Linked DNA regions of Lepisosteus oculatus. The protein of the gene in region 3 interacts with the protein of the main gene of each other region in a pairwise test. Links are inferred from orthologs where the notes say so. Each region holds a gene or a part of one and is shown on either strand. Other genes may lie near its edges.

The links.
Region 1: the proteins of hdac6 (region 3) and receptor tyrosine-protein kinase erbB-4 interact in a protein complementation assay, tested with the Homo sapiens proteins (2 studies listed by BioGRID and IntAct, with this or other methods). The link is inferred for Lepisosteus oculatus from reciprocal best matches to the Homo sapiens genes HDAC6 and ERBB4.
Region 2: the proteins of hdac6 (region 3) and receptor tyrosine-protein kinase erbB-3 interact in a protein complementation assay, tested with the Homo sapiens proteins (2 studies listed by BioGRID and IntAct, with this or other methods). The link is inferred for Lepisosteus oculatus from reciprocal best matches to the Homo sapiens genes HDAC6 and ERBB3.

The regions. Positions count from the first base shown.
Region 1 is NC_090707.1:8,562,739-8,570,051, reverse strand, and holds the start of receptor tyrosine-protein kinase erbB-4, read right to left. Parts: upstream 3,081-7,313; 5' UTR 2,800-3,080; coding exon 2,724-2,799; intron 1-2,723. UniProt on the Homo sapiens protein: Tyrosine-protein kinase that plays an essential role as cell surface receptor for neuregulins and EGF family members and regulates development of the heart, the central nervous system and the mammary gland, gene transcription, cell proliferation, differentiation, migration and apoptosis.
Region 2 is NC_090696.1:14,628,202-14,636,167, reverse strand, and holds the start of receptor tyrosine-protein kinase erbB-3, read right to left. Parts: upstream 3,064-7,966; 5' UTR 3,056-3,063; coding exon 2,974-3,055; intron 1-2,973. UniProt on the Homo sapiens protein: Tyrosine-protein kinase that plays an essential role as cell surface receptor for neuregulins.
Region 3 is NC_090697.1:75,338,635-75,345,846, forward strand, and holds the start of hdac6 (histone deacetylase 6), read right to left. Parts: upstream 3,028-7,212; 5' UTR 2,912-3,027; intron 2,158-2,911; 5' UTR 2,124-2,157; coding exon 2,040-2,123; intron 1-2,039.

The DNA.
Region 1 (7,313 bases), on a different chromosome or scaffold from region 3:
ACGCGCGCGCCCCGAGACCCTCGTGCCTCTCAGAAGGTACAGTACTGAACAGGAGCCCTGCTTGGTACATGGGGAGTAACGAGAGATGCTAAGCAATGCAGGCATTCGGTGTGTAGGGCTTAATAAGTTAAGAGTAAACATTTGAACCGAATGCGGTGTGTGATGGGGAGCCAGCGAAGACGTGCCAGACCTGGGGTGATGTGCCTTGAACGCATTAAATCAACGTAAGGAAAGACCCAGACGTCTGAGTCTATGGATTTTTCCTGTCACTACTAAAACAGTACCCATCATAATGTAATCATAAAGTTAGAAGCAATTCAGGGAATCCCGAAGATTATCTGTGTTTCAGTTTATGAACTGAACATTAATAAAGAAGACGAAAGGGCACTTGTAAATGTGTTACCCGTCATCTCATGTCCTTTATGACAGTGAAGTCCTGTTTAGTCCAGGGACAGTCACAACACCGAAAGAGCCTGCTGCGGACTTGGGAGAGATTTCTAATGAACCACGTACCAAGGCTCCAATTGTACACGTGCAGAATATGTCCTTGGCTAAAAGTATAGTATCACTATTATCATTAACAACGTTTGTAACCCATTTCTAGAGTTCAGTACGCTTTAAAAGGACGTTCGCTTAATGTGAGGATTTGTTTTTCGTGAGGGGGTGAAACAGCAGAACTGCCATTTAATTAAAAGGAGAACGCCTCGCCTACTTTTCATTAAACAATTCTTGAGACAACGGAACGCTAACTCGTAATATTGAACGTACAGTAAACGGATGCAAAATCTCACTGAAGTATTGAAGAACTCCTTTCTAGAAGTTCTCCGAGGAATGTTTTGAATACAGATATACAGTACACCTTTGCATAATAATGTAGATAGATGAGTATAAGGGAGAATTATGAACAGGTATATGCCACTGTCTGAGAAGTGAGTAAGACGCACTTTTCGCTAGAACCTGAAACTTCTCCACTTTCTGACCCACGCAAGATTTCCACACCTTGCAGTTACACACATTCGCGAATAACCCTCCGGCGCACGATCTCAAGGGAAACACACACCTATGACTCTCAGCGAGGCTCGGCTGCCCTTTAGCCTGAATCCTATCAGCTGCGAAACATACAGTATAAGACAAGAGACGCCACAGGCTGCAGAGTTCAGATTGTACACAGCGCGAAAGGACTGCGAGTCTCCGGATCATACCACCACCGTGTGGAGATGCGGTTGTTTCTCCCAAGCAATCAAAACTATATCTCAACTTGTTTAAACAGCACAGCCCGATCTCTTGCAGCGTAATAATGCCCGGTCCTCCAATAGACCAAGCTAACAGTCAGCCAAATTCTGTTTCATATGGCACAGACGGTGCATTTTATTGTGCCTACAGAGACTACAGTAAAGAAAATACAGAACAAGGTATCAAAACCCTTTGTGATCCCAAACGTTTGGAGACGCGTAAGATACTATATGTCACCACTCAGGTGCAAAACCATTAAATGAGTAATTAGTAATGAGTGCTAATTAGTCGATTACTTGCTAATTTATTTAAAAAAATGTACAGTAGTTATTACTCGCATGTTACAGGTCCTGTGTGGGTACTTCGAATGTTTCCCAATCTGTTCATTATGTTATGAACAGACTGCCACATTACTTCCGAAATTTAGTTTATTTACTTCTCATAAACACCATTGAACACCCAAAGAACGAAGAAGTTTTTGTTGTGCTCTGTAAATAATGTTTCAGATGCGCAAGTCGAGGCTCGGTGTCTTTGAACGGGAACTATAGCTTCGTCAATCGAAACGCGAGACAGCTATGAGCTAATAATTATTAATAATAATAACTGGCGTTAACGACTAATTAGATGTTCTTTATACATGTTTACGTTTCATTACGCAGATTAACCATATGACAACGAACAACATCTGAAGATGCCATACAATGTGAAGAATATCTAAATTCTAGTAAAACACCAAACGGCGTTAAGGATGCTGATAGTAGTCCGCAGATATTTAAATCGTCAACACCGCATCGATTATTAAAATCGCGTATTTATAGCACCTCCATTCGTCCTTCTTAAATTGCTGGCATTTTTTAAATCACTGACGACGGGAAAGGCGGTAGGTCAGGTGCAATCGCTCAAGAAGGCAGCGGGAAGAAACACAAACGAACTGGTTAAGCCTCTTTTTGCTCAAGGGACGAAAAAACACGGTGGGAAAACGTGAGTGAGTGGACAATAGTTCTCCGGTGTGTCCGGGACACGTGCGGCGTGAACTCCATGTCCAATTCTCTAAAAAACCAAAAATCCTGATTCTCTTGAGTCTCCGAGACGCACTTTAACATACCCCTAATAATCAAGGCGCGATAGCACAACCCCGCAGTCTCTCAAAAACAGGTACAGCATAAACAGTATCAAGATCGACATCGTAGTGAAAGAGGAGTGTCGGAGCCGAAAGAGCCTTAAAAACAACACATTCCTGCTCTCATTTACTGACTGTCATTCCGTTCATAACTTGTGGTCCACAATGTACAATATCACACATTTGGCGATTGTGAGAAATAGACTGTGACCAGCGTTACCAGCAACTGTAGAGTCCACACGGCGCAGAAACTACTAGCCCGACTAGTGAGAAACAACAGTACCTCACAGCCCAATAACAACACACGCTGGAGCATGACATTTAACAATACACCTTGCGCACGATACGAGAACAAATATATCCTACCCACCTGACTGCGATGAGCTGATCCTGACGATCACAAAACTGAACAGCAAGCCGAAGCAGTACAGAGTGGTTGGCTTCATTTTTTTGGGGGGTAGCAGTTACTCCTTAAATTCACATGTCCAGCAACATATCCCGTTTATTTATTTATTTTTTAATGGACAAAAGAAATCTTGAGCTGATGACAGGGTTTCGATGCACGGTTTGAAACGTAAATATGTCTCCTCCAGGTGTGTCTTAGTCCTGTTTGTGCCTTGAAAAGATTTGCCGAAGTTCGCACAGTAGTAATGTACTTTCCACAGCGTGGTATACAGTAGCTTGCCCTGATTGCAGTGCTAAGCTCATGCCATTACTCTCTGCAGAGTTCAGCACACAGCGTCCGCTCGAAAGCTGGAGACACGCCCCCCTGAGGGAGTTTCCCCGCCCATCGCCCGGTGCATTGGCTCCAAAGGCGGCCGGTACAATTGGTCCCCGCCTTTAACCACGCCTTCCTGCGCTCCCATTGGGTCTTCAGGCCTTCCCAAAAATTGCTGTTTTATTCAGCGCAAACACCTGTCTCAAAGGCAGAACCGAGTCAGGTGAACGCGCAACTGTCGGCGCGATTTAATGTGGTATTTTCTTGGGTTCTCTGGCGTCAACCTGGTAGTGTTTTCTAATAATACTATTATCAGAGATAAAATTTTGTTTCCCAGACTTGGAATAATCGGAACGTAGCATTTAAGAAGCGCATTATTTGACCTTTAAAAAACTTTCTGATAAATACAGTAATAGATTAAACAAAAAAACGTTGTCTTATCACGGAAGAAGGACGATTTCAAAGAACACCTTTATGGGTTAAGATATCATAAGCCATACTAAAGTAAGAGTCCTACGTGTAACAGTTATTAGAAATTGATTGCAAAAGTGAAACAACGAGCACGGTGGACTATTTAGAACAAATTTAAATTAAACTATTTATACTGACGGCTGTAATCAAGCCAAACGCAATTTTCCATAATAGTTCGTATATGACACTAAGTACACAGGTGGATTTTTAAACCCACTTACGATTCTTTTATATTACTTATAATTCTTTACAAAAGTGCTTCTTTTGTACTTCTCTTATATTCCTACAAGGCAAGTCCTGCTGATTTCGCATTTATTATGCACGGTGTATCTGCGTGTGTACAGGAAGTCCAATTGGTGTCACTCTCCAATTGTTTTTGTGTTGTGTCCTTTGTTGGTAAGTTGTTCAGACCACTAGTAAGTGATTCCAGGTTCCTCTCTTCAGAAACATGAAAAAGATTTAGTGGAAGAAACCACAAAAGATAAGCCACTGGCATTAGGCTCACTTGTGTCCTTAAAATCCCAGAAACTTGTCTTCCCAATAATTCTCACCATCACCTGCCATTCAGTCCCTGCCAGGGGGATACACACAGCTTTGAATCACAATATGCTGGAACATCTGGCCCAAACTCTGCCTTTTGGCTGGCCTAACCCTCTGCAGTATCATGAGTGTTAACATCCACGATAATCCTAAAATGACTTACAGAAGACATTCAGCATGAGAAGACAGTTTGTTTGCATTTCAGAAAATTTAGCACAAGCAGTTGCATGTTTCTGCTGCATATGCATAAATCATGCTCAGAAACATATCGTTAGATACATGTAATAAATACAGAGCATACAGTATGTAGCAGATGAACTTTTATTATAAAGATTCCAAAGAAGAAGGTAAATTAAGTCTCTTTCTTTTTACACTAGTTGCATTTCTTAGCATTCTTAAAAATCTCATTTGTGTTGAAATCAAAATATTAGTAAAACATCTAAAAAACAACTCTTTTCAGATGTTAGAAGGTACTGTAAGTAAGGCTGAACCTGGTCAGTATTCAGCTGGGGGACCTGTAACTGTTGTTCATGAAAGGCAAAATAAATATGTAAAATACCAATACGAGATTTTAAATAAACTTTTAACCTTCTAGTTTCAATTGCTGCAAGTGTGTGTTTTTGTGTGTGGAACATTAGGTGGTGTTCTTCTGTTTGGATTCGAATGTCCAATTCAAATTCTGGTCCCCAGAAATGTAAACCAGGGACATTGTGCTGTAGGAGATGCTGTCCCTTGGATGAGATGTTCAGCTGAGTGTCTGGCTATGTGGTCAGCAGAGTTCCCACTACAGTGCTGTGGCACTCCCAGTGTCCTGCTTGGTGAGGGCTACACTTCGCTTGTGGATGAACTTCACATGGGGTCTGTGATGAAGGTGATGATGATATGATGATTGAGTGCAGTGTCTGGAAAGGCACTATATAAATCTAAGGATTACTATTATTCTGGCAAGCAACTGGCACAAAGCAGCATACACCCTAGACTATCACAGGGCACAAAGACATAGACTCTCAAAAGATGATGATGATGATGATTATAATATTGTGGAATTTGTGAGATCCCTAGATCAGATGCTACCTACCTCCTCTCATTTGCAGTCTTTCTTGTATTCGTATCTTCTTATTCTTGGAATTATAATTAAAAAAAACAACCTCAGCTTCAGGGAGGAAATAACATTATCCATCATTGTCTAAGTTTGTGTTTCGCACTATGACTGGAATTGCCTTTAAACAAAAATAAAAGATTTTGTACCTTAAAGAACAATGTGCTGTGTGGACAGTCACGGTGCAGTACTTTACACCGCGAGAGTGAACAGTGAGACTTGACTTGAGTTATCATTTCAATTTAGCAACATTTGTGCTTCAGCCAGGCTAGTGCTGGCTGGAAAATACTTACTAATCACTTGGGCACAGATGTTAATGTTTTTTTTTTGTTTTGTTTGTGTAGTTAGATTATTTGCTCTAACACCAGAAAATATTATAGATTTGCATGCAAGGGTTCCTGCCGACTGTTCTGAGGGTGGTAACTCATATTTGAACTAATGTTTTGTTCAGCGCTGGAATGTGGGTCTACTATTTATAATATAGATAATTTAGTTTTCTTTAGTTTTCAGTTCGGTTTTTAATTAAACAGTTTTGTGTTTAAAATAAGAGAGCATTGTTCTGTTATCCCGTGCTTTTCAAACCCACTGCCGTCTGCTGGTGTACTTTCAACGTGTAATTATTTTAATTATATTTATTATTTAGAAAGGAGGAGGAAGAGGTTACACATTGAAGGGTAAAATTACTCTCATCAAAGTGACCCACTGGCCTGGCAGCCAAAAGAGGTAGATTTTTTTAGGGTCCTGTCTGACATTCGAAGGCCATGTGTGCGTGTACTTGTGTGTCAAATGAAACGCCCTCCGCAGCTATTAAAACTTGCAGTCAGATCGCGTTGTTGTAATGCCGTCCCTAATCCAGACGGGGGAGCCTTTGAGTACCTCTGGGGTCAAGAAAAGAGTAAAGGACGATGCAGATTTCATACCGTGTTGAAAACTATGATGATTCGGATACTGGCCTTTTATTATTAAGACACATTAAATGTTTAATTTAATGTGCTTTTAATAATGTAACGTGTGGGTGATTATCAAAATATCAAAGGAAGAAGTCATATTTAATAGGGTTTTAGTAAGTGCACCCCACGTGTCCAGACTTGATTAACGTAATAACAAATTTAATTTTAGCGCAATAGCTTTTTAATAGAGTGCTGCTTAGACCGTACCTCTCTCAAACCGTCAATTAAACATTGTATATTTTCAGAATACAAAAATTAACTACACAGAATTACTGTAGTTTATAAGCCAGCTCTGTGAAGGTGGATGTTTATAATTTCAGCGGGAGAGTCAGAGCCTGTTTAATGGATGAGCGTGTAGCGAAGCAGAAGCATTAATAACAGGAAACCTTGAGAATCTCTGGCTATCATAATATATTCAGAAACACAATGCAAATGATAAAACTGCTTTATTACATTTTGCATAACTCACTCCTATGAATCCCCTGCACTCTGGCTCGATCTGCCACAGGAAACGTGCACATTTTCAGGCACATAATAGGAAAAAGCATCTCATACTGTAGGAGTTATGAAAAGCTTTACCCCAGGATGAATACCCAGAGTTCCCCCGGGTGACCGACCCTACAAAAATCCATATTTTCTGATGCACATCAAGACACCCATCCATCCCATAAAGAATCGCAGCATGGGCTAAAAATGTATTTTAATTTCTAAAACTATATTTCCTTAAAGGTAAAACGAGTGACCTAACAGCTCTTTCAAGGGGCAAAGGACAAATAAAATGGACAGGGGGGTTTTGGAAGAAGGCATTTAGAAATAAGGGAAATCAGTTACACCTCATCTGTGAGGATGCAGAAAGAGTTTAAACCACCCCTTCGATCCCAGGAAGAAATCCCTTCAGGTTGTGCAAGATTGACATGCTTCAGAAACACAGTCCACCTGTGCAGGTGCCTGTACAGCCCTAGAGCTGGGCACAGGCTGGCTTCAATTCAATTCCATTCAACTTTATTGTCATTAAACTTACACAGGTGCATAGTATAATGAAAAGTGTTTCTCATTAGTCACTCAGGTGCAGTATATAAATAGGACAGAAGATAAGACAATAGACAGTTACACAATAGCAATAACAGTAACATGTAATAACATAACATAAATAACATAATAACATGTACATAAATAACATGT
Region 2 (7,966 bases), on a different chromosome or scaffold from region 3:
CAGAGGAGTGAAGTGATAATAAAACCTGCTCTGTCCAAAGAGCTCTCTTGCCTCCTCTCCTGACACTGGCTCTGCTGTACAGCAGGAGGGGATTCTGCAGCCAGCAGAACTTCAGCACATAAGCCCTGCAGTAAAGTTTTACAGCAGGCGGCTATAAGATTTTTATGACAGGAATAACAGCCCTGTCACCAGATGAAGAGCCAGGCATGAACAATCTCAGCCTCTCACTCCAAGGTACTCCCAGAGTACCCCTGAGTACCCACTGCACCCCTCTGGACAAGGTCCCGAGAGGCAGAGAGGCCGAGGTTTCAGTGTTCATATTCCTCCAACACACAGATTCATAAACTACATTATTAAAAAGCAGAAGGATAGAAAACCATCAGTCCCTGTTTCCCAATAATGCTCTGAGCAGGTGTGAATGTGGGTCAACACACACACGGCAATCGTAATGCGTTGCCACCATCCTTACTCGGACTAAAACACAGGCTGTCTCTCCCAGGGCAGACGGTGGTCAGTATGGGGGTGTCTCTCCTTTCTGCTGGAGAGAGAGGGGTGATGCTGCCTGCCCCAGGGCACTCTGGGAAGGCTCAGCAAGGGAGGTGTCGTGTAGGCAGTCGGACCCCAGATTCCGCGCCCCGTCTCGGACCCACCTCTGCTAGGACTGGCCATCCTAGCACAGCCTAACACATCCAAACACCACACCTGCCCTGCTGAACCTTCCCAGAGTGCCCCGGGGCAGCCAGCGTCACCCCTCTCTCGGTAGTAGGAGGGAGAGGCGCCCCCATACTGACCACTGTCTGCAGTGGTCACTGATATCTGGGGCCCTGTTTGACCTGTGACCTCCTCTCCTGAGGCTAGGCCTCTCGCGGTGGCAGCTCAGCCAGGAGATTTTGGTGTGGTTCGGACAACATTCCCAGTGAGGGACAGGACTTGAACCCCGACTCCCGCACAGGCTCGTGGGGGGGCTGCTCAGACGCTGCGAGGCCGTTGCTGGGAGTTGTCGGACCGGAAACTCGGCCAGGCTGAGGGAGTGGCTACAGTCGATTGCTGTGGCTTCATTAATCTGCTGCTGCCCCCACCCAGGCTGAGTCACGCAGAAGGGCCCCAGATAGTCTGCCCTCCACACTGCCTGCGAGTTCGCCGGGAACCAGACACACCTTCCGTCTCTGCAGGCTGTGAAGAGTGAAGGGGCCTGGGGACTGGCTGGGCCATCGGCCCCTCAGCACAGGCAGGAGGCCTGAGAAGGCCAGCAAGAATGTGCCCTGCAGGTGCAGCAGAGCAAACAGGCTGAGCCAGGGAACAGGTCTGTCACTGCTGAGCACACACACTGATACACACACTCACTCTGATAGATAGACACACACAGTGATACACACACTCACTCTGATAGATAGACACACACAGTGATACACACGCTCACTGATAGACACACACAGTGATACACACACTCACTCTGATAGATAGACACACACAGTGATAGACACACACTCACTCTGATAGACACACACACTGATACACACACTCACTCTGATAGATAGACACACACACTGATACACACACTCACTCTGATAGATAGACACACTGATACACACTCACTGATACACACTCACTCTGATAGACACACTCTCTCTGATAGACACATTCACTGATAGACACACACACTGATACACAAACTCACTCTGATAGACACACACACTCACTCTGATACACACACTCACTGATACACACACACACTGATAGACACTCTCTCTGATAGATAGACACACACACACTGATAGACACTCTCTCTGATAGACACACACTGATAGACACTCTCTCTGGTAGACACTCTCTCTGATAGACACTCTCTCTGGTAGACACTCTCTCTGGTAGACACTCTCTCTGGTAGACAAACTCACTCTGATAGACACACACGCGGATACACAAACTCACTCTGATAGACACACTCACTCTGATACACACACTCACTCTGATAGACACACAGATAAACACACTCTTATAGACACACACATTGATACACACACTCACTCTGATAGACACACACACTGATACACACACTCACTCTGATAGACACACAGATAAACACTCTTACAGACACACACATTGATACACACACTCACTCTGATAGACACACACAATGATAAACACACACACATACTGATGAACCACACACAGTAACACACTGATAAACACACAGACACACCGATGGGCTGAAATCCAGACAGCTCTCACACACGATAGCTCCAGAGGTTTACCGAGCGAGTGGAAGGATCCGTCACGAGTTCTCCGAGACCCATGTTCATGTGGACACACGGGCCCCCGGTTCTCTATCGTCTGAGAGTGGGGTGTCCCTCCGTCCGTCAGCCCTTCTGTCAGTGACCCCAGTGTCAGTGACCTCTCAGTGGGTTTACGTGTACAAAGGCCACGGCTGTCAGACCTCCTCGCATACCGAGTCAGACAGAGGTCCCCCCGAGGACGCGGGGCGGGCAGTGACGGCTCAGGAGCTCCCGGGGAACTGTCAAACCCGGGGCTCAAGGGAACCCCCCGGCAGCGCCTCGTCAGCCTGTCCCGCAGCCCGGCTGCCTCACCCGGCACAACACAGAGCACACACCAAGCCAGCCGGGCCCGCTGACGACTCACGGACTTTACCGGTCGCCATTCCCGGAACATTATCAGCCACGACGGGAACGGCAGAGCACCCACCTCCGGGGAACACGCGTCCTTCTTTTTTTGCTAGAAAGGTCAAGTGTTGTGTCACTGAAGAGAGATTTTGACGCCTGGCTCTGTCCCCCGAGTCATTCCCCTTTGCGGGAGGGGGCCAGGTCACCCCCGGGAGGGGGCGGCAGGTGGATGCGGACCGCACGAGGAAGTGTGGGTTCCAGCGCTACTAAATCACAGAGCCGGCACGCGGAGCGGAGCGCAGAGCAGCGGGGGGGGGGGGCACGAGGACGTGCGGGACGGCAGGTCTCTTACCTTCGTGGGACTGCGGGCGAGCGGGCTGTCCGGTCCACAGCAGCGCCAGGCACACTGCGAGCACCTGCCGGCAGAGCGCCATCCGCCCGGACTGGACTGGACTGGACTGCAGCGGAGTGGCCGGGCCGGGCGGGTCAGGGGTGCATGTCGAGCCGGAACAGACGCTGTGTCCCGACTCCCTCTTCCCCTCTCCCGTCCCTTCTAGATCCCAGGCTCGCAAAGTGCGTTCCCAGACCGAATTCCAAGAGTTATCCGCTTTTAGCTTCCTGGTGTATTCTTTGTTCCCCGTAGTATCTATGTGCCCGTCTCCAGGTGTGCCTGCCTCGCAGCCTGAGAGAACAGCGGAAAACCCTCAATCCACCTGAACTGGTTTCGGTTCCAGACTGACGGCGGCAGGCAGGTTCTCTCACGTGTGTCACCTGGTAACCCCAGACTGACAGGGGTGAGAAACAGCAGCAGCAGCAACAACAACAACAGATCCGAGTGCGGGCAGTAATAGTAACGACGGACTTCCCGGTGACTCCTCGGCGCGGCGGTCCGAGGCGATCCGCCACAAGCTGATCCAGAAAGTTGTGAAGCGCGACACCCCCGCTCCACTCCCTTAGTATAAAACAGCGCAGCCGGGGCGCTGATTGGACGGGCCGCTGCCCCGAGCCGCCAATCGGCACCAGCGTCGTGGGAGCGCTGCGAATCGTGGCTGAGGCGGCGGGCAGGGTCCGTCGGGCTGTGAGGCTACAAAACAAAGGTGTAGGCGATTTAAAATATATATATATATGTCACAGGGAGTAATCAAATGAAGTGTCTTTTTGTTGTTGTTTTTTTTTTGGAAATGACGGCAAAAGTCATCACTCTCGGGTTCCCTTGATTCAAGATTCAAGATTAGTATTTGCCAGATACAACAAGTGGATTGGAACGCTTACTCGTTCAGCTGTGGAGGAAAAACCAATAGGCAGAAATGACAAACACGGACAATACATTGAGAAAATAGACGTTATAATACAGCCAAGGCAGGACATAGCGCAAACAGCGCAGTACCTTAAAGTGCAGGTGCTACTTTGAGGTGTTTAAGATGCGGACTGCTTGGGGGGGAGGAAACTGTTTTTTGAATATATTGGTCAGTGTTCTGATACTGCGATACCTCCTACCGGAACCCAGGGGTGAAAACAGACCGTGGCCAGGGTGAACTGGGTGCCGAAGTATAGCTCGAGCCCGGCTGCGGTCGAGATATATCCGGTCCCAGGGATTTTCTGCGCGGACCTCTCAGCCCTCTGTATGGCTTTTCTGTCCTGTACTGTGGCTCCACCGTACCACACCGCAATACCACCGGCCAGGACACTCTGAACCGTATTAGGGTAGAAATTGGTGAGGGTAGTCTTGCTCATCCCCCACTCCCGGAACTGTTTCGGGACGTGAAGGCGCTGGTGCGCTTTAGTGAGGATGGCAGCAAAAGAGCAAAATGACCTCTCCGACCAGGTCAGTGGCCGAGAGTGGGATGTCTCTGCGCCCGCCGGTCCCGCCAGCCAGACGCCGCTCCGCTCAAACACACCGGGTCGCAGTGATACCCTTATTTTCAGGGTAATAGACCCGGGCCCGTAGCGCCTGCTCCGAAAGGGCAGAGCTTAGGGACCCTCCGGGGGGCGATGGGCACTTTGAGTGAAGTTGCGTGTTTCCACCAATGGGACATCTTTCTGTCGTGCTGCTTTTATGTGAGGGGATATTTATATCGACTCGGAGGGGCCGCTGGTCTCCGTGAGAGAACCATTGTGCCTTTCTCCCGCTAGCCGCGACTTAATCACCCCGGCTTTGATGGGGACAGATTGTCCGGCAACAACGGCCGCATTGTCTCGGCGCGCCGGGCCTCTGATCTGCAGCCGGACGCGCCTCTCGTCAGGGAGAGAGGAGACTCGGCTCTGCTCTCATCCGCCTCCCTTCCTGCAGGCCGGGTTGAGAAAAATCCCTATTTCGGTAAAAGTCGGGTGTAAAAGGCAACAGGTCTCTGGATGGAAGGAGCTCCTTTATAACCGGGGAATTTCTGGCGCATCTTAGAAACCCGGTAAAGCGCATATTAGGGTCTTTAACGGGTCCTGGGCGTTAGGGAATCTTCCGGGTTTTATTTCAAACTACTCAAATATTTAAATAAATCTGCTGTTGGCTTAATTAGCCCAAATGTCGACGACCTGTAGGTTGAAGACAGACGCCTACAGATAGTGAAGAGCCCAGTTACAGGGCTGCACAGTCAGAGCCCTCTAAACCCCAGATTCGTGGTCAAAGCCTTCTCAAAAGAGACGCTCAGCAAACAAGGCCCTATCAGAACAGGCTGTTCAAAGTGTCTGTGTGTTTAAAAGGGTCAGACCCACCCTGTAAGAAAACTGCAGGCAATGGAGTGAGGCCACAGCTCAGGTGTGCACTCGGATTCGAATTCCAAGGGTGTTCTGGGCCTGGCCCTTGCATTGCTGTTGGATGCTGGGAAGGCAATAACTAGCAAAACATTCACAGCCACTCACAACAGAACATTCCTGTTACTGTGGAGAGGCTCTCTGTTCCTCCTCCAGTGGGACTGGGAGCTGTTCTGATTCTGGCAGGGGTGGGAATTCAGGGATTAGGATTGTTGTTTGTGGGGAAGAATATTTGTCTAATCTCAGAATACTACCTGTTTCACATTCAGTGAGCTGAGCACTCTCACTCTGTGTCACACCCTGCTAGCTGTGCACTCACTCTCTGTCTCACTCTGCTAGCTGTGGACTCCCTGCTAGCTGTGCACTCACTCTGTCTCACTCTGCTAGCTGTTCACTCACTCTCTGTCCCACTCTCTCAGTGTGCTAGCTGTGCACTTCTTTGTCTCACAGTCTGCTAGCTATGCACTGCTCTGTCTCACTCTCTGCTAGCCGTGCACTCCTGTCTCACTCTGCTAGCTGTGGACTCCCTGCTAGCTGTGCACTCACTGTCTCACTCTCTGTCTGCTAGCTGTGCACTCCGTTGTCTCACTCTCAGTCTGCTAGCTATGCACTCCTGTCTCACTCTCTGCTAGCCGTGCACTCACTCTGTCTCACTCTCTGCTAGCTGTACACTCACTCTGTCTCACTCTCTGTCTCTCTCTGCTAGTTGTGCACTCACTTTGTCTCACTCTCTGTCTCACTCTGTATGTACAGGAATCTGGACTCAGACGGACTAAACAATGCGGAACAGAGATCATCAACACGCCCCTCCTCGCTGTTCCCGAGGCGCACAAACAGGACTCATGTTTTTCATAGCGGGGAGTGTTGCTCTCATTGTTTCGCGTGTTTCTAAGCCGCAGAACTGGTTCAAAACTCGAAATTCCGGCAGGTCCGACAGCCTGTAGTAATGATTGAAGCGTCGTGAAAAACAGGCCCCGAATGGGCCGCACTGATTTACCTGCTCAAAGCTGTAATTTTCAGATCACCGAATTCGCCAGATCGAGATAATTATAAGGGAAAGACAAAACAGATTCAGTAAGTCAGCGCTCAAACACACACAAAGGCCCACACAATGGAAGCTGCAGAGAAACGGTGGAGAACAGGGAACAGAATACACCATTCAAGACTGATGCCAGCTCACTCGCTCGGGGTGCTACCCCTACTGAAGAACTGACTAATTTTCAGAGACCTTACAAGCGACCCTGCCGGCGATTTCCGAGCGCAGAGAAGACGTTTAATCAAGGATGCCCTCTTGTGGTCTCCATTAGGTACTGCACATAACTAGCACTGGAAACGCTGTAGTCGATTAACCTAGCTTGATACACTGTGCTTGTCTTATTTCACGTGACCTTCAACTGTTTGTTAAACTTTTTATTTAACAATTAAAGAATTTACAAATACAACATGTACAATACAAAGTAGTGCAAGTTCATTTTATATAATAACTCATTAAACTTATTAACTAATTACTTAATTAACTATTAATTAACCAATCAATGAATTAATTATATTCTTATGTAATATTATTTCTATTAATTTATATAACGTTATGCCAGCATTGATGGGAGGTTACAGTACATATAATCAGCAAAAATAAAACGCTGTTTCATCTTCTTTCACAGAACAAAATCAAGTCACAATGGGACCTCAGCCCAATCCAGGCCTGCCAGTATTAGCCAAACCTTTCTGCTTCTAACCTAAAAGAAAAGATGATCTTTTCCATTATATTTCCCTTATAGAATTATCTCCTTCACAGCACTGTTGGGAGTTCTTTAATAAACCACTTTCTAGTGATAGTGTTCTTACTAGCAGCTAAAATAATTCCTAGTATATATCCATCCTTTAATTCCATGTAGTCAGAAGTAAAAGTACCAAAATACATAACAGATAATTCAAAGGGTATTTGTAGATTTACTATATTAGTAAGCACAAAATACAGTATATGAATTTCCAATATTGTTGTTTTTTCATGAATGACCAGAATGTGTTTGAATAAGTTGCAACTTGTTCTCCACTTAACATCCAACATCGTGAATAGCTTCCTTTTTGTTTTGCTGGAATTTTAAGACTATTAAAAAACCGAATCTAATGTTTTCAACAGCAATTTCTCCAAACTTGTAAACTGGTGGAGCTTAGTTGAAATCTGTTCTTCCACTGTTCTGCGGAAACTGTCTTATCATTTTCTTTTTCCCCACTATATTTTAATATAATTAATTTAATCGTTTTTCATACCTTCAATGTTATTATAGTTTTGAGATTATTTTCTTCTGGTTGCTTTGCTTGTACAAAGCTATAAAATGATCAAGCAGTTTACTACTTTGCTCTGTATTTGGTTGTTATACCCAACTATCTATTTAGTGCCTAATTTGGAAGTATCTGTAGAACTCTTATTTCTAGGCTATAAATCTATAATCTATCACTTGTTTCTTTGCTTTAAATTCTAGGCTATTTATCTAGGTGATAAATCTTCTACGTTTTTCAGGTGATTCTGTTTCATCAAGGTACATATTGCTGTGATGCCTCTAATAGTCCAGATTTTAGAATGTTATCAGATTTTC
Region 3 (7,212 bases):
TGAAAGGGGAAAAAAGTCAAATGAAGCTGAAAAAATGCAAAGAAAAAGAAAAGACTGAACAGAGTTGGATGGCTGACCGAAGTGCAGGGCTGGTATCTCCGCTGGTCCGCAGGCGGTACAGGGCGAGAGCAGAGTGTGGAGTGTGGAGCCAGATCACAGCGTCTTTAAACAGCTCCGTCTCAGACACACACCTGAGCTACACGCCCCTGCCCCTCCGGCTTAGTGCACCACAGCCAAATGACATTTAAAAATTAACACAGCTACAGCGCCGAGGGCTATGACTGGCACCGTGCCCAGTGACGCACTGGTGCTCTGGTGCAGCTGGTGCAGGGCTGGACCTGGCCTCAGCTCCACCCTCAGTGCAGTGCTGCCACTGCAGGAGAGGATCAGAGAGGTCACAAAGTCCGGTCCCACATTAGCAATACGGACAAGCAGTCTGCCCCACGATCTCCTCTCTGTGTCCAAGAGAAACCCGCTCCTGCTCTCAGTGCCTGAATCTCCTGCTCAAGTACGCTGGGGTCGAAGTGGAAACCTCACCCCATCAAAGAGCCCTGATATAATGTAATTACAACGTAAAATGTAACTGACATGACATAAACACATCAACTTTAGGTGCATTACTTGCCTTTACCAAAGGAGAGAAATGAGGAGGAATGCCGGCGTTACTGTGTCCGGTTACTAATTGATCCCAGGATCTCATCCAGCTGTTCTCTAAAAGAACCCACAGTATCGGCTTCAACCACACGGCACGCGAGAAAGCGCACTGGAGCCCTTCTCGTGCAGAAGCCCGAAAGCTATTTTTACATGACTAGACCACTGTGCCGTCTTTTTTCAACCGTGGAGCATCCCCACGGAACACTGTTCTTTCTAAACGCAAACACCAGCCCTCGTGTGTCCCCTACAGAAACTATGAAACCATGGCATAGGTATCAGATAGCCTGGGGGGGAGAAAGACGTCACTGGATCCAAGCGACAAACACAATCTGACAAGATACTGTATTCATTATTGTAAACCTATACGTTATGAGATTGTAGGAAACGATTTCTACAAGGGTAGAAACCAGGAGATTCTCTAGCATTTCCAAATTCTGGGAAAAAGGCAAGTCCGGCACCTGTGTCAGCGAGAAACAGCATTCAATCCTTAAATCTTTCTCAGGGGCTTTGCGTGGAAAGGGGTCAAGCTCTCAGCCACCTGTACTTTGTGCAGCCTTCATTCCTGGGCCTCGTGCACCCCCTGCCCTCTCCACCTGCTCCGCCTTCACACACTCCCTCTCCGGCAGAGCTCCGTCCTGGAGTTACCTGGGCCTGCCTCCCGGGCCAGACGTGGCTCGGCCACCAGGTCTCGGGGCAGAGTGCCTCTACAGCAGCGGAGCGTTTAATGAGCAAGCGTCTGGAAGGGCAGAGCTATCCATCAGCCAGGGTCGGGCAGGGGCACAGGGGAGAGCCAATGAGAGGGGCTCACACAGACACGCCCCCACACAGTCCCCTGCTAGCCACCTCCCTCAGTTTGACCTTCACATTCTAATTGTCATCGGAATTAATTAGTAACTGTGCACTCTACACAGCCCTGTCTCACCACAATGAGAAACTGCAGAGTAGCCGTTACATGATCAAGCACAAAACTCCCCATCCATGACGGGAACACTATACTGTAAAAAGGCGCTGTCCTTCGGATGAGACGTAAAGCCGAGGTCCTGAGTTTTTTTGGTTATTAAAAATCCCAGGACGTTTCTTGAAGAGATCGGGTGTAAACCTGGCGTCCTGGCCAAATTTCCCCCTGGCCTTTACCAATCATGGCCTTCTAATAACCCCCCTCTCTGAACTGGCTTCATCACTCTGCTCTCCTCCCCTCTGAGAGCTGCTGTGTGGGGAGTGGACTGGCGCACTGGTGGGGGTGGAAGGGATCCCCATTACCTGTAAAGCTCTTTGAGTGAAGTGTCAAGAAAAGCGCTATATAAACACTGTGTGAGAAATTATTAAGAGAATGATGGGCTCCCCTGAGTTACACCTCTTCCTCAGACTGTGCCACGCCCACCTACCTTGGATGAGGAGCCTGGTGACTTGGGGGAGTGGGAGGAGCCTCGACGAGACCCCGCCTCCTCGGGATTGGGTATGGAATCCATGCTGGGACAAACTTCCTCAGGCACTGGTTAAAGACTGCAGAGCATTTAAAAGTATTTATACAGGGTTTTCATTCAGCAGCTCACGTACTGACACTGATGACTCATAGGGGGTCATTTCTGCGTGGGTTGTATAACAGTTTGTAGTTTGTAGTTTCTAGTTTCTGAGGCAAAGCATGGATTTCCTTTCCTATAGTTGCATGACAGTCTGTGAGTTTAGCTAAAAAACAAAAACTTATTTATTATTTCAACATTACGCTCCCACCAGAAAATAAACATTCTGAAAGATTCCCAGAGTTTGAATTACACTGTCTGGCCACGTTACAAAAGAACCGAACATAAAGTTCACTCAACGGCAGCACAAGTGACTCTTCCTACTGAATTAATAACTTGAATATGTCTGTAGAATTCTTCTCAAATTCGTTACTGTAAGGCGGAACACAAAAGCGCTCGATCTTAAACAGTCCAGTCCGGGGTGTTACTGCTGTACTCATTTACTACTGTAGCCAAAGCCACACGAGTTTTAAAATAATTAAAAATAGATTGAAATTGCGGCTAATAGCCACATATTTACGTGCATGTTGTAACCCAAATAAAGACAATCATCAATAACAGTATTCGAAAAGAAACTGTAACGGCTAAGTGGGAAGTTAATTAAGCTACTTCAAGTGGACCTTTTCTGAACTGACTGCACATTTTAGTTCTCGATTTGTCGCCAAGAGAGACATTTTCTATTACGCTCCTACGGAAAAGCCGAAACAGTGTACTGTTTTATAGTTTGAATTGCTTACAGGTGTGCTTTCTTCAAATCGCAGATGAACTGTCGAGATGCTTCAATCTTCATTCAAAAGTCGCTGCGCTCAGCCGCTCTCCATCCTCAGACAGACACCCACCGGGGCGCAGGCTGATGACGTCACACCACCCACCTTCGCAATGCTACCGTTTTCCTCGGTATTTGGAGACGCGGATCACGGTGTCACATAACTGGGAAGGGGGGCAGCTTTTATTACTGTTACAAAATAAACGATAGGGTGTTGTCACATTCAGTTTTGCGAATGTGAAGCTTTTGGCGGGATTTTTTTTCGTCAAGCCAATAAAAACAGGTCCGAATCAAATTGTAATTGGCTCCGCTAACGGTCGGTAGATGTCGCCCAAACTACATCCTGCAACTCTGCAGCAGAATTCGCCACAAGCCTTAATCACCAATCTAGTGGCTACAGTCTGTTGTGTATTAATCGTAACAATGCCAGAAATGTCCCTCTACACTGCAGGGGCCTATAAACATGCTTTTCATCAGGATAGAGCAATGGAGAGCCCATCCTGGTGCAAAGTTAGGGCAGAGCAGACCTCATGATGATGGGCAGCACCCCCACTCCCCCTCCCAAACTCTAATGCCTCCTACCAGCAGTAACTGTTACACAACAGCAGCCCATGAGAGGCAGGGAGTCTGAGAACAGGCCGGGACTGCGATGGAAGAGATAGCCAGGCTTTGAAGGGAGAGCAGAGAGCAGCCGGCCCTGCGTGGTGATAAGGCCTGGGGGGTCGGGTAGGCCAGCAGTGGGCGTGAGGAAGCTGGGGGGGTGGGTATGAGCTCATACTAGAGCTTGGGGACTGGACTGGCAGGCCACAGTCCCTCCACACAAAGGCCCTTGTTCCCTTATAAGCACACAAAAGTACCAGACAGCTCTATATCTGATGCAATAGAGGTCTGTTCGGAAAAATAGAGGAAAAGAAAATATGCCCTTCTCCCTTCTGCATTTTCGTGTTCTTCTTCTCTATTATTTGTTTAGAGGAGACATTTAAGAACTTGAATACCATATTGGTCTTTGGAAATTTTCCTCCTTTCAAGAACATTTCATGCTCTTGAACTGTTAATTCTTCCCCTTCCCCTCCCTCCTGGACGTGTCCGTGCATTTGAACTGGATATTGCCCACAGACAGAAAAATCCTGGCCCAGATCCTACATCGAAGCAGAATGCTTTTAAAAGTCATCTTATGCCCAGTCAGAACAAAACCCACGAGAGCCAGCGACTCTGTCCGCAGAGAGACTTGGCCACCCTGACCCTTGAACCTTGACCTCTGGCCTGCAGGGGTCATCCAGAAGACCCTCACACAGGGACATTGATGCATCAGCTTCGCATCAACATCCCCTTTGCTTATTTTCAGCCACCATTAATCCTGCAAATAGTTCCCTGATGGAATTCCAGCTACTTCCAGCTAAAAACATGACACCTTTTTTTTTTCCAGCGGTGGTTGTACAGTAGCTGCTAAGTTGTTTTGGGCCCTTTTAGACATATTATACCCCCCTGTCCCAGAGTCTAATGGGCTTGGACCCTCTTGTCCCCTCTTTGGCTCTCTGCAAGGAGAGGCGAGAGCCACACCACACTGCGGCCTCCTCCTGGCGCAGCGGGGGCCAGACAAGACCCCCAGCTGTTTCCAGCCCGGCGGGGCGGGGGCTCTGGGTGTAGAGCACTCTGGAGGAGAGAGAGAGACGGAGTCACTGCGTCCGCTGGGGGAGGGGGTGTAGGAAGGGATGGAGCGGGGGCCATGAGCGCACAGCAACTGTAACAGACAGCGGGAGAGGGAGAGACGGATTCAGGCTCCAACGGATGGGCCCGTGTGTCCGCTGGGCCCGGGGCTGTGGTTGCTAATCTCTCGCCCTCATTCGCTGCCGCTTCCCGAGCCCCGCGAGATAACCCTGTCCGCAGGGCAGAATTTCTTTTTTTCAAAAACCCCGACCCGTCTGCCGTGCTGATAAACGAATAAACCAAACCACCGCCCCCCTCCACGCGCACACACAACGGTGCCTCAGCGTGCCTGCGTGGCCTTTTTTTCATGAAGGTCCGGAAAACCAGAAGCCTGCTGCGTTGCACAATGGGGCTCCAGCCAAGGCGTCAAACCGGAGAGCATGTGGTCAGCAGCTGTCAGGGCGCTGGAGAGAAACAGGCCTCTTTTTCCAGCCTCCAGCTGCACAGATGGCGGGAGAGAAGAGACAGAGGAAGGCAGCAGGGCTCCAGTGGGCAACCAGGCAATGCCATTGCAGGCCAGACTGGATTCCCTCACCCCCCACAGCTCCCCAGTTTACTGGGGCACCCCGATTTCCTTCACTGCAGTCCCTCATATTCACTCCCTCCTGTGCAGACCCATCATGCTGCTTTCTCACATTCTGGAGTGTCTTGGTGATGTTCAGATGAGCAATGCACAGCTTGATTCCAGTGACTGCCACCAACTCTTCCCAGGACTGTCTTCTCACCCCCAAGAGCACCCAAACCCTGGAAGATGCTGCACCTTAGTCCGGAGCACTAGTGATGTCATTTACTGTGGCCAGACTGGGGCACAACCGGAAGACAGCCTGCGACACTACGATATCTGCTGAGGGCGCACTGGGATCCGTTACGGGCCGGCAGCAGTTTCTGGACTGGCTCGAGGGTGACTCTGAAGTGAAGAGGAGGGAGCAGTCTGAGAGAGGGGTCTGGAAGCTGGGAGACTAGCTCTAGGCAGCGGAGAGCTGACAAGCACGCATAGGGGTCCTTAGCTCAGCAGGTGCGGTCACAGAGGCGTCCAGCGGGAATGCCGGATGCATTGGAAAGCTATCAATCCTCTCTCCTTGGGCTTTCATTCTAGTTGCACCTGGCATAGCTAAAAGACTACTGCTTTCTAGGTCAATACACACCAGACTCCAGAAATGACACAAAATGACCTCAAATGATCTCAAATTCCCCTACGCCTCTACCAGCACAGGGGCTCCAGTGCTTTGCTCTCAGCAATTAATTAATTAACTTAGAGCTCATCTGGAATTAATATCAAGACATCCATCAGCCTTCAAAGGACAGTGTGCCCTTCATGCAAACATCACTCACTTAGTTGATCAGTGGCTGAAACACATGTTCCTCATCTTCAAATAACAGGAGAATCCGGGTGACCAGTAAGAATAACTGGATTGGGGATCTGCAGGACCTGGGTTGGGGACCCCTGCTTCAGAGTGTGAATTTGTCCACCGTGCTCCAGCAGGGAGACTGTCCTCAGAGCCTGGAGGCCATTTCTGTGTTTGTGGGGGCAGTGGAGGAGCTGGCCAGCTGTTTCTCTCTCTGTTTGACACATCGGTTTTCAGGGGTTGAAGCAGAAGCCTGAAATAGAGCCATCACAACCCACAGCCCTCGTCCCCTCCCTCGCTGACCCTGTGCTGTGTGGGACTCATGTCAACCGAACTATGCAAATCATTTTTTATTTCTGTTTTTCAGTCTATTTTTCGTTTGTAGATTTATTTTTAAAGGTGTTTTTTTTTCACTGCCCAACAACATCTGGCTGTCTCAAAACGTTTTCTCGCAGAAAGAGTTAATAAGAAAATAAGAAGGTGCTTAGAGATAGCCCTGCAATGAATAAGAACACTGCTGTGTTGGACAGAGAGTACATCAGAACACATTGTTTTAGAATTTAAATCAAGAGATATATGTTAGAATTGTATAACACACCAGGAAGACTTCATTTAGATAACCGCAGACAATTCTGGTCACCAGGTTGTAGAAAAGGTATCTGGAGTCAGTCCAGAGAAGAGAATCCAGAAACATTCAAGGGCTTGAAGGGAAAGTCCTGCACTGACAGGCTGAAGGAACCCAGCCTTTGTCGATTTGCACCATGAACCTAATATTCACAATCCTCAGAGGCACCGACAGAGTCAAAGCCAGTGGTTTTCTCCAGAATAAGCAGAGAGGCACGCACCAGGAGTTCACACCAGTGGAAACTCCATGGAAGGGCATCCAAAGCTGAGAACAGGAGGCACTTCTTTTCACAAAGGGTGGTGGGAGTGTGGAACAAGCTGCCCAACCCATGCTGTTGGGTCTGATACTCTCGTTGCTTTCAGGAATGGGCTGGATGAGATCAGTTCTGAACAAAGGAGCCAAACAGGCTGTATGATCTTCTCTCGTCTCTAGCTCCTCTGTTTGTATTTCTCAGTAAACTAAGGGCCCCAGGGGCTGAGGCAGTGGTTCCCAGTCCCTGCCCCGGTGACCCACACTCCTGCTGGTTTGTGTTCTAGACGAACCCACAGATACACCATCAAACCCTTCACTGACTTAGCACTAATCAGATGAATC